Linked DNA regions of Schizosaccharomyces pombe. The protein of the gene in region 2 purifies or fractionates together with the protein of the main gene of each other region. This does not show direct contact. Each region holds a gene or a part of one and is shown on either strand. Other genes may lie near its edges.

Region 1 (4,311 bases), on a different chromosome or scaffold from region 2:
TTTATGTTGTCTGCTTCTTTGGATCGGTGAGTAAATTATTTAGTAGATCAAAATTCATTTATAAGCTGGATTTCAATAATGTGTACACAATTATGTTAATGATCGTTCCAGGTCTAGAGATTAAAACTTTTTCACAGGTTAAAAAATAAAAAATAAAATTAATTATAAGAATTGTCGCTTTCCAGAGTCTTATTTAAGAGTATCGAGCCAGGTTAATAAAGTGTAACGTCAAAGGTTGAATACTAATCACAGCGTTGACAAAGTATATAAACGCACGAGTTAAGCCCGTTTATACTTAATCGCAAAACTGAATTTGATGATGTATTCGTATTAATGGGAAAGGCTACGATTTAAAAAGATTTTGAGCCTATACTATAAGTGCGTTTTCTGTCAGTTGTTTATTGCGACAGTCGCCCCCCTGGCGTAGTAGAAGTTGCAAGTCGCGTTGTTACTCTGTAAACAAGAGCTTTAAAAATGGAGTAGATTTAAATGGATGAAAAGTTAATAATAGATTTTAATTGAATGGATTTTTCGATAAATAGGGAGTATCATTCAAATAAAATTGAATTTAGAGGCGGTTGATTTTTGGTTGAATGAAATGTTTTGAAAATGGCGCTGATCATTTAACTAAACTCATACCTAAAAGAACGAATGATTAAACCAGAAGCAACTTAAAAGTTGTTTATCAATGGGAAATCTCAATAAGCACTTACATACCTTGCCTAAACTGCATTCTCCAGCGACCTAAAAATCTCAGTGCGATAATTCTGAAGTCCATCATTACTATTAAATTTAATCTTTTATATACGTCGTATGAAAACCTTTTTCTTGACTATAAAAATCATGACAAATGAAAATTTCGGCTAAAAAAACGTAGCATTTCATATCATAAACAGGGAGAGATGAATATAAAAACCGTCAATCCTTAGAAAGGAAACGTAATGAAGCTATGTCCAACAAAAATTTAGTTCAAGCTTTTCTTCGATAATTCGAATTCATGAACACATGTAAAATGCTTATTAATCAATTATGCTAAGGGACTCTCTTGATTTAACGTCCAAAATAACAGATAGAGTTTACAAGAACTCTCACGTTTCTCGAAACAATAATTCTCCGTGATTCATTATGAACATCAAACTTATTAGAATAGATGGAAAATTATTCATACTTTATAAAAACCAAGAATGATGATAAAAAGTATGAGACATGCCATTATAAAAAATTCAATCGCAAGTACTTTTACATTACTCTTCAGCTGATAAATGCTTTCCTTGTGTGTTAGGAACAGGCATGGTATCAGAGTTGCCGTTTTCAGGAATATGCATTTGATCAGGTACGAGGGCAGGAGATCCAATCGAAATTTCCATGCCAATCGGTGCACCCCTCGTTTGCAGGGCTAAGGGGGAAGGTGCAACAGCCGGATATGGACTAAACTGAGCCTGGGGTGGTAAACTCATTGCCGGAAATAATGAGGTAGCAGGAATAGTAGTTTGTGAAACCTGAGACTGATAATTCAAGGCAGGAGCCGCAATTGGATTCTGATTCCTTCCCCAAGATAATCGGATACGAGAATTGCCCAAAGGATAACCCTGCAACTGATTGATAGCAATTTCAGCAGACTGTCGGTTGACAAATTGCACAAATCCACAACCTTTTCCAGGTGGAATTTTGACATAAACAATTTCTCCAAAATTTTGAAAAAGATACTTAAGCTCCTCTTCAGAAACAAATTTTGAGAGACCGCCAACAAATACGGTTGAGTTTGCTGTGTCAGCAAACTGAGGAACAGGCTGTGCAGCACTATAAAATCCAACTGGTGGCATACTAACAGGTACAACGTTCACAGGACTAAAAACATGAGCCTTACTTTTAGGAGTGGCTAATCCCACCCGAATAGGACGATCACCACAAATTTGACCCTGCATTTCTGCCAATGCAGATTTCTGATCATTTTCGTCCGTAAAACGGACAAAACCATATCCTCTTGACACATTTGTTTGAGGATCAGTCATGATTTTGGCCGACTTGCATGAGTTATATCGAGATGCGAAGAGAGAATACACATCAAACTCATTGACATTGGGTGACAAGTCTCCCACAAATATGGAATATTCTGAGGCCTTTGAAATAGACTTTTCACGTAATCCGCCTCCAGAGGCCCAATTAAGTTTAAACAAATGATTTGTACCAGGAATTGGTTTGTTGTTCATACTCATCGCGCTTGAAGCTTCATGAGGAGATGCGAATTCGACAAAACAATAGCCAGCATTCATGCCTGTGTACCTGTTACGAATAAGCTTTACTTTGACTGCCTTTCCTAAAGTATTCCAAACTTGCTGGATAAATGCTTCAGTAACCCAAGGCTCTAATTCACCCATCCAAAGCGTCGTTTTTTGATAGACGTTTTCATCTCTTGATGAGCCATAGTTGCTAGTATTTTCGGAATTTCCAGATTCGTTGGATGCCATATTTGGAGAAATCGGATCTTGAGATTGTACGGGTTCATCATTTGATTTATAATCATTGTCCACTTCTTGGTCATCTTGTTCATTGAAGGAGTTATCTTTAACCAAAGTATCCGTATTAGCTGGTTGTTGGCTTTGTTCGTCTATCGAATTATGCGATTCCTTGGGTAAAATTTCAGACTCAGTCGGTGAGGAAGACATTTTAAAAATTTTAGCAATTAATAAAAGAGTGGATTATACTAGAAACCAAAAAAAATCGACACACTATGCTCACGGTAGAGACAGAAGGCTGAACTAAGTTAGATGAAAGTTTCGACAATGGATATTTGTGAAGATGAAACAATGAATAAATCGCCAAAAGGACTAATTATCACCACAAAAATGAGATGATGTACTGTGTATACAAAACACAAACTCTTAAAATAACTTTGGTGAGTTAACGGAAATAACTTATACGGTTAGTTGTCCAAGAAAAAGTACAAACTGGATTGTAGTCGATCAAACACAAAGTGAAATGAACGAAGGTAGAGAAAATTATTAGTTGGTACTAGGCCAATTAGTTAACTCAACGATCCAAACGTAAAAAAATATGAATCAAAGTTAAGTAGTAAGTCTTCGATAACTGATAAAGAGTCTAGAAGAAATTCAAATAATAAATTAGGAGTTTCCAAAAAAAAGAGGTGTCTTTAATAAAAAAAAATCTAATTCAAGGAAAAAAAACTTTTCAATGTTTAATTGCAAACGAATTATCAGTTAATGATAATATATTAAATTAATTGAAAAGTCAACTCAAAAGTGAAAATGTATGCTTGTAAAATGCACACAATATGCAATGTCTAAAGGAAAACGGAAGAGAAAGTTCAATTTAAACGGCAGAAGGAATAACAACGATACTTGGGTATCGCTGAACGCAGAAACGAAAAACGAATATAGCAATTAACGTAAACACGAGAGTCTACTGCAATCAAAATAACAGCAATTGCGCTTTAAACCTACGAGCAAAAAGAAAGAGAAGAAAATATTAAAATAAAAGACCTCAAAAAAAAAAAAAAGCGAAATGCTAACTTCAAAATCAAAATGCAATTTTTAACTCAAATTTGACGCAATTCCCTCGATATTACTTTCTATATGTAGCTCAATTAAAATATAAGAAAATGAGAAATAATATAAGCACAAGGACAAAGGAAACAAAGGAATTGTTCAAATACGGGGTTTCGATGTTGTAGCGTAGGTAAGTTGACTTATCTATCAGCACATTGTTAGGCAATCTATTTATGCAATTATAAATTATTGATTTTTTTAAGGTTTTTCATTTACATAAGTATTTTTTTGAATTTTATTTGTGCAACCATGTTATTAATTATGTCTTTTGAATTTCTTTTCTTATGCAGTTTTGGATTCCTGCGCAGGGTTCCATCGCTTCAGTCATAGTAGTAAAATGAGGTAAATGATTTACGTTGCTTGAAATGTGCAGATCCTACGGATGCGTCATATGGTGCTGGCAAAAGAAAAATGCGAATTTGTAGGTTTAGAGACAGCTTAAATTTTGCTTTCACCGTTTCCATTAATTCTATAAACTTTCATTTTTCATACAGTTGTTTGTCTTTGTATCCACCTGGCTAAATACATTAGAGGTTAAGCGCCAACACTCAGTCATATAAATATTGAATAGTAAGCCGCTAAAGAGAATTCAAGCGACACTACTTGATCAATTTTTAATGAAAGATACCATTATAAATTTAGAAATACAAATAATAATAGTTTTGAAATTTGGTTCTGCTATCAATACCTACGCATTGCACTTTAAAGACAAAGTAATTAGGAAAAAGGTAATGAATATTTTTAA
Region 2 (6,694 bases):
TTTGTCATTCGTCATCTTCTTCCGGTGACTTTTCAGCTCTTTCATGTCATAGAAATCTATCATTTTCTGAAAGCTTGCCTACTGCTGAAGATCAAGTTCATAATAATCACTGTGCCGTATCGCCTTCCAGAAGAAGTTCATCCAATGCTCTGTATCTAGCTACTTTGCCAATGGGTTATGAACGATCTAATTCCGTATCATACTGTTCAGATTCAAGTCTTAGCTCCCCTTTGCCTGACGACAATATGCTACAAGATCCACACGCTTTGAACATGGCGTATGCTAAAGAATTCGATGTTCTTATCAATGAAGTCTTACAGTCTCTTTAATTATTTATAACAGACTTCCTGAATTACGAGTCTTTATAACAACCACTTTTTTTTTGACAATTGAGATGCCATCTCCTATTAACTTTTGGATAATGCTTTTAATTATACATGTCCAAATATGGACTGGAGTCAATAACTCGGCATTTTTATATTATTTTATTTTAATATCATATGCATCTTATGTTTTTTTTTTAACTATTTCGTTGTAGTACTTGCTTTGAGATACATAGTGTCCATGGTGTCTGCAACAAATACAACCGCATCTGTTTTGGCTTAATTTAATGATTCTTAGTTAATTTTAATTACTTTTTTTCTAATAACTTATTTTTTTATTTATTTCACAAGCGTACTAGTAATATCATTTGTTGCTTGAATATTATGTTAATGGCAAAATGGTAACATGCATTACATCCTAAAGAGTGAGAGTAGTAGCTGTGTTTACGATATCATCTTTTATCTCTTACATCTTCGGCATTAAATCAGGTTGGCTACTGGCTAACGAGAAGTGTACATGTATTTTAGATTTTCCTTAAACAATTTGCTGAAATTAGCAATTTGATAAAATGCTTCATTTAGGGCATGACGAGAATATATATGTACATAAAATTTTAAGGGTATTTGTAATGATGCGAAGTAACTAAACTTTTAAAAAACAATATGTGATTTGATTTTTTTTCTTTTAATATCGTGTTCCATTATAACCCGAATCAGAAGATCCATCGTCATGATACTCTTCGTCGCTAGCCTCTCGACTTTTGGAAATGTTGTCATCCTGAGTTTGTTTTCTTTGCTCTTCTTCTCGTTGAGCTTGCATAAACAATCTTGCTTCATCATCGGGAATAGGTTCATCTTGGCATTTGGCCGCATAATCATTTCGTATTTGCTCGGCTCTCATTTCATATTCTTTAGTTAGGCGCTGATAACGAAGAATTTTTCCAGCATAAGCTTCTCTTTGTGCTGCAATTTCATCAATCCAAGGTTTTTTACCTAAATCATCAAGCTGGCGCCAAGTTTTCCCTAGTTTGGCACGTGTTTCATTAATAGTAGCCTTCGCTGTACTATCTCCTGTTAACCTTCGCTTGTCTTCATCAGCAAGTGCACGGCATACATGCCACTGCATTTTTTGGTAAAGTAAAAAGGGATTTGCATTCGGCTTGGAAGGAGGTTCAGGTAAATAACCAAGAAGTTCAGTTACAAGCTGTTCCTGTTCTTCCTTATGCTCGTCAAGTCTTTCCTGCTTTTTCAACCTATATCTTGCCTGATAAGAAAGGTGACGCTGTGCTTCAGCATTGGGATCAAAATTATTAACTTTAGAGTTTCGCAAAAACTGATCCAATTCTTTGCGAGAGGTTTCTCCAATGATAGGTATGGTTAAGGAAATTGGAGCCAATGAATCAATAATCCCTGTACATACGGAAAGGCCAGATAAAAAGGATCTTTGTAATGTCCTACAGCCTACGCAACTGAATATATAGTCTCCAGCAATATGCAAGCGACCCAAATTATACGATAACTGACTTTGCCTAAATCTTTTTTCATATTGCTGCTTATCATTGGCAAAATTTGGATAAGAATTTAAGCCGTCATAGACACCATTTCTCGACCAGTTTGTGACCCAAGCATCTAATAAATCAGCTGAGCTGTTTGAATCATTTTGAAAATGATCTACTATTAGACTGTGTAATTCTTGAATTAAGTGGGAGGTCTCGTTAGAAGAAGAACTTGTCATTTGTGGATTGATATCCGCTACTAATATTGGGACACCAGTTTCAGGAAGCATATTCCATATTCTCAAAACAAAACAAGATTTACCATCATTCTCATCATTGTTCATTTCTTGACTTAATGATTTTGGTATAATACCAAATGATCTAATGTTCTTTCGCCAAAAAGCAGCTGCATAACGAAGAATAACCTGCTCAATGTTAACTTTATAATTGAAAAAAAAATAAATAAATAAAAACCTACCTTTTTTCCGGGTTTGAAATCTATACTTTTTATGTTTTCAGTCACGAAATTAGGAAGACCTGGTGAAAACTCTATATTTGAAGAAAAATGAGAAGGAGAGCAAGCAATTACAACTTGGTCAACCTCATAAGAAGAGTTGTCCTTACAATCAAGGGTACATTTATCATTTTCAATAGTTACCTTAGATACAAACTTCTCATAATGAATATTTAAGGGAGATGGATAAGATTGTAATGCCCATGGCAGTTGAGATAGACCTCTTCTAGCAACTTTTGGAATCAAAATATCTTTGGAGAAGTCTGTATCAACTGTGTTAAGAGGGTACAAAGTATCGTCCAATTCCGCGACCTTAAAACACCATATCAGAAATTTCTTTTGACTGTTCCCGAGTTTGGCATAAGAAGAAACTTCATCAATTAGTATTAGCATTGTTTTTTTGAAGGAAAATTCATGTGACGCATTTAATGAGAGTGATTTGGACAAATGATCAGGGAACATTTCATCTATAAACAACTGAAATTGGGATATCCAAGAAATACGAACAGATTCCTCAACGTTAATAAAAAAGCAAACAGAAACATATTCCAAAAGTTTTTCCCATAAAATGTTTAATTTTTTCACCTCAACCATGTCTAATACTTTAGTATCGGTCTCATCGTAAACTAAATCTGAGCCAGTCATCTCTGTAACTTCAATACCCAATTGTTTATTTAAAAGGTTAAGCAAAATATCGTCCATAGGCGAAAATAAAAATTGAAATCCCAAATCAATTGCTGAAGGAATATGGGACGGGTCAGTAACATCCTTGGGGTTTAAAGAAGTGGAATTACTAGAAATAGAATTCGAATTAGATGTATGATGGTTAATTTGGGTAGCCGAAGTATGAGAAACAGGCAATGCTCGAGAGTAAATACGACCTCCTGTCCTTTCTTTAGCTTCAAGTATAATAACTTTAGGAGGAAGCTCATTCTTTGACAAAAAAGATGAAGAATACTGAGAAAATAAGCCAGTAAGTTGTCTAGCACATATCAAACCAGTAAGACCAGCGCCTACTACAGCAATAGTCTTCTGCTTCGATGCAGAACTGGATGTTGTGCCAGTATTAGTTTCATTCGTAAAGGATGAATCAAAGGACAAGCATCCATAGTTTATATATCCATACCTTACAAGGAATTCATAAGCTAAAGAGGCTAATTGGAACAAACATCGATCGACACATACGCCCTGAGCTTCAACTCTGGATATGGCATGCGTAGGATTTTTAATCCAAAGCCAACAAATGCTGTTACGAATTTGGAAATAATGAAATAATACAACGGGATCGTGTAAACGATCAGAAAGCATGTGTTGTTCAAAACTTTCTAAGGCCCTCGGATCGAGATTGCATTTACGAGCTGCTTCAGCGGCATGCTCAAAAAACGACTTTAAAGAAGATGTAGGGATACTGGCTCCTGCAGATGGTATAGTATGAGATGATGATTGACTAGACCATTGTAGCAGTACTCTAGACGGCTCAATTGCAACAGAACCTTCAGGCCTAGCACCTAACTCTGAATCAAAAAGTGCAGGACTACTAATATTACCAGATGTAGCAGCTGAAGACATTAAAGGGAAAGATGAAGCAGGAGGCGATACAACTGCCGGTGCAGTAGTAGGTGGTATTGGCAAAACTGCGTTATCAACACTTTTAGATAATTCTGTTGCTGATACCAACTGTGTAGGCATAAAACTTTCATGATTGCGGAATGTAGATGGGGTAACTCCATGAGAAACTTGATCCCGATACATCGACAAAAGTTGCTGAGAAGATAAATGAGAAGCGTCTAATGGATACGGATAATTGGAAAAGGCATTTGAGTTTTGGTGTTGAATGGGGCCTGCATGAATTGCCGTTGAACCATCTCCACTGGAAGAAAGCGGGTTTTGTGATCGTGAAGGATATGTAGATGGAAATTGCTGAGAAGACGGAGAGTTTGCATCAAAAAAGTTTTCGTATGTGGATGACTTTTGTTGAGGAAAAGAGGAACCTACAGTTGGAGGTAATCCAATTGTTCTCATTCCAGACTGCTGAGCGACACCTGCATTTGAATTGCCTAAAAGATGCTGAGGAAATGGTTGATTAGCCGCTTGCGAAATTGTGTAAGGGTGAAAAGAGGAATCATATCTAGAAGGTAAAAATGCTGGATTATAGTTTCCCCATTGATTGTTCAGTGAGCTAACTGGCTGTGAATTTAAGCCGCCATCTGTACGATAAGTTGACCTTGAATACGCGTTCTGATTAACAGAATTAGGTGTGATAGACTGTAATCCACCTCCTAAAATAGCTAAAAGCGCTTGTTCACTACTCACCAATTGAGGTTGAGTTGAATTAACGTTGTTGGCGTTAGCATATGATGAAGCCCGGTCAGAATGATGCTCTGTCATTTCTGGAAAGTCATAATGACCATCTGGATCATTCTCGCTCGTGTTCATAGAGTAAAAAGATACAATCAAAGTGAACCGAGGTGGTAAAATCTCATTGAATCTCGATTTGGTGTTTACAAAGTACTTTGCGCAACATATCCTTAACGATTCGTTAAAAAAATATCGTTCTAAATATTATAGCATAATGGGATAACGACAAATATTATAAGCATTTTTATGTCAAGTCCAATCAATCATCTATCAGACTATCCAGAATTTATATTTTTCTTTTAGATAATACATGTGTCTTTAATTATTTGAATACCATGAAGAACGCCCGAGAGGCATTCAATTGCCTATTTATCTGATTCATATTGCGAGTATTATTCTACGATCGCATTTGCTCTCTTCTACAGGCTTAACACTTTGGAAATGATGAACGAAAAATGTGAAGTTCATTAATTTGTATTCATTTTCCAAATTATTGCATTAATGTGTTAGCTCTTTCATGCTAAAGACTACTACCTAAACTCGTTGATTTCAACTTGCAGAAAACAATATTACAATACACTTGAAAGTATAGTCAGCGGAGAATAGAACAAATGGAGTAAATTATTATAACAATCCAAAAATATGTTACATTGCTGTTAAGATTCAGAAAAGCTTAGGATGTTTAGAGTAGTAGTGTAGATTAACTGTTTATCAATATTATACTAAAACATCTCATTATGGTTCAAGTTCGCTATTGTTGAATTTTACAAAAAGTCTAGTCCCGCCGGGGATCGAACCCGGGACCTTCTCCGTGTGAAGGAGAAATCATACCACTAGAACACGGGACTGTTGGTTGTTAACAGAAAAACTAAATGATATATATCATAATTACATTATTATTGATTTAAATAGATTAAATAATGAATAGCGAAGTTATTTGAGCTGAAAATTAAGTGTAAGTTTTTTATATATGTGCTGTAATGAACAATTAAAATTTCAGCCTAATCATATAGTTTTAAAAGTCAAGCAATGACTTTTTGCGAATGAACTAATTAACCATGGATACTGCTTTTTACAAGCAACTCCATTTTCCGTTTTAAATAGTTGTATACAAATGTTTTTTCCCCCGAAAAATTGTAAAAATATATTAATGAATTGACAATTTCCAAATGAGTTTGCACTCGGGCAGTTTAAATATATTTAATATATTAACTATCTACATACCATATAAATCCGGTAGTATTATTTTTTCTCAATATCTGCTTTTTCGATGCGTATTAATATCATAAAAAATGCTCCACATAGGATTTCATTAAAAACATATATGTTAACTCTAAATTTAACGGTAAATCGCTAAGGACTGAATATTATTTTCCAGCTCTTAACGAATATAACACCGCAGACGGACTTGGCCAATACCAAAACTAACGCAAAACAAAAGACCAATAAGAATCATGTGAAGTATTTTACCCTAAACTCATAGTATACAATGTCATGCTTGTAAGTAATAGACAGCTAAACGGGATAATATCTAATTTGTTTACCATAAATAAATATGCCGCACGACAAACATGCCAATCAAGTTTATGTTTGAAGAGCTCCAGATGCAACAACAGCAGGGGTTGAGGATTTAATATGTTCAGAAGCCATATTTTCATTGTCAGAGGACCTCAGCCATTCATCTATTTGTTGAATGTGCTGATTTAAATTGTGCAACTCCTGAATCATTAAATCATGCTGAGAACGCAATTGCGAAAGAACATTCAAAGCATAATTGCGTTTATCTACATTTGATCCCTGAACTTCAGGAGGAAACTGCAAAGAAACCGGCGAGGTAGAGGATTGGATTAAAGGAGCTTGCTGAGATTGCGAAGGTGAAACTTCTGATTTCGGTCCATTTGACATTGATGGCTGCTTGTCGGAATTTGAGGGTGGCTCTTCGGGGTTAAGTAAGGAAGCAATTCCTTCAGCAATCCTTGGCTTTGCAGAAGTTCGAGGAGGCA

The links.
Region 1: the proteins of lsd2 (region 2) and cxr1 purify together in Schizosaccharomyces pombe (affinity purification with mass spectrometry, with the first as the bait; one study listed by BioGRID). This does not show direct contact.

The regions. Positions count from the first base shown.
Region 1 is NC_003423.3:3,834,599-3,838,909, forward strand, and holds cxr1 (splicing factor Cxr1), read right to left. Parts: upstream 2,667-4,311; coding exon 1,245-2,666; 3' UTR 799-1,244; downstream 1-798.
Region 2 is NC_003424.3:444,845-451,538, reverse strand, and holds lsd2 (putative histone demethylase SWIRM2), read right to left. Parts: upstream 4,770-6,694; coding exon 2,298-4,769; intron 2,245-2,297; coding exon 1,009-2,244; 3' UTR 813-1,008; downstream 1-812. Other genes in the region: meiosis specific arrestin family membrane adaptor Ste7, read left to right, coding at 1-329; Fe-sensing transcription factor Fep1, read right to left, coding at 6,276-6,694. UniProt on the Schizosaccharomyces pombe protein: Catalytic component of the SWM histone demethylase complex that specifically demethylates H3K9me2, a specific tag for epigenetic transcriptional activation, thereby acting as a corepressor.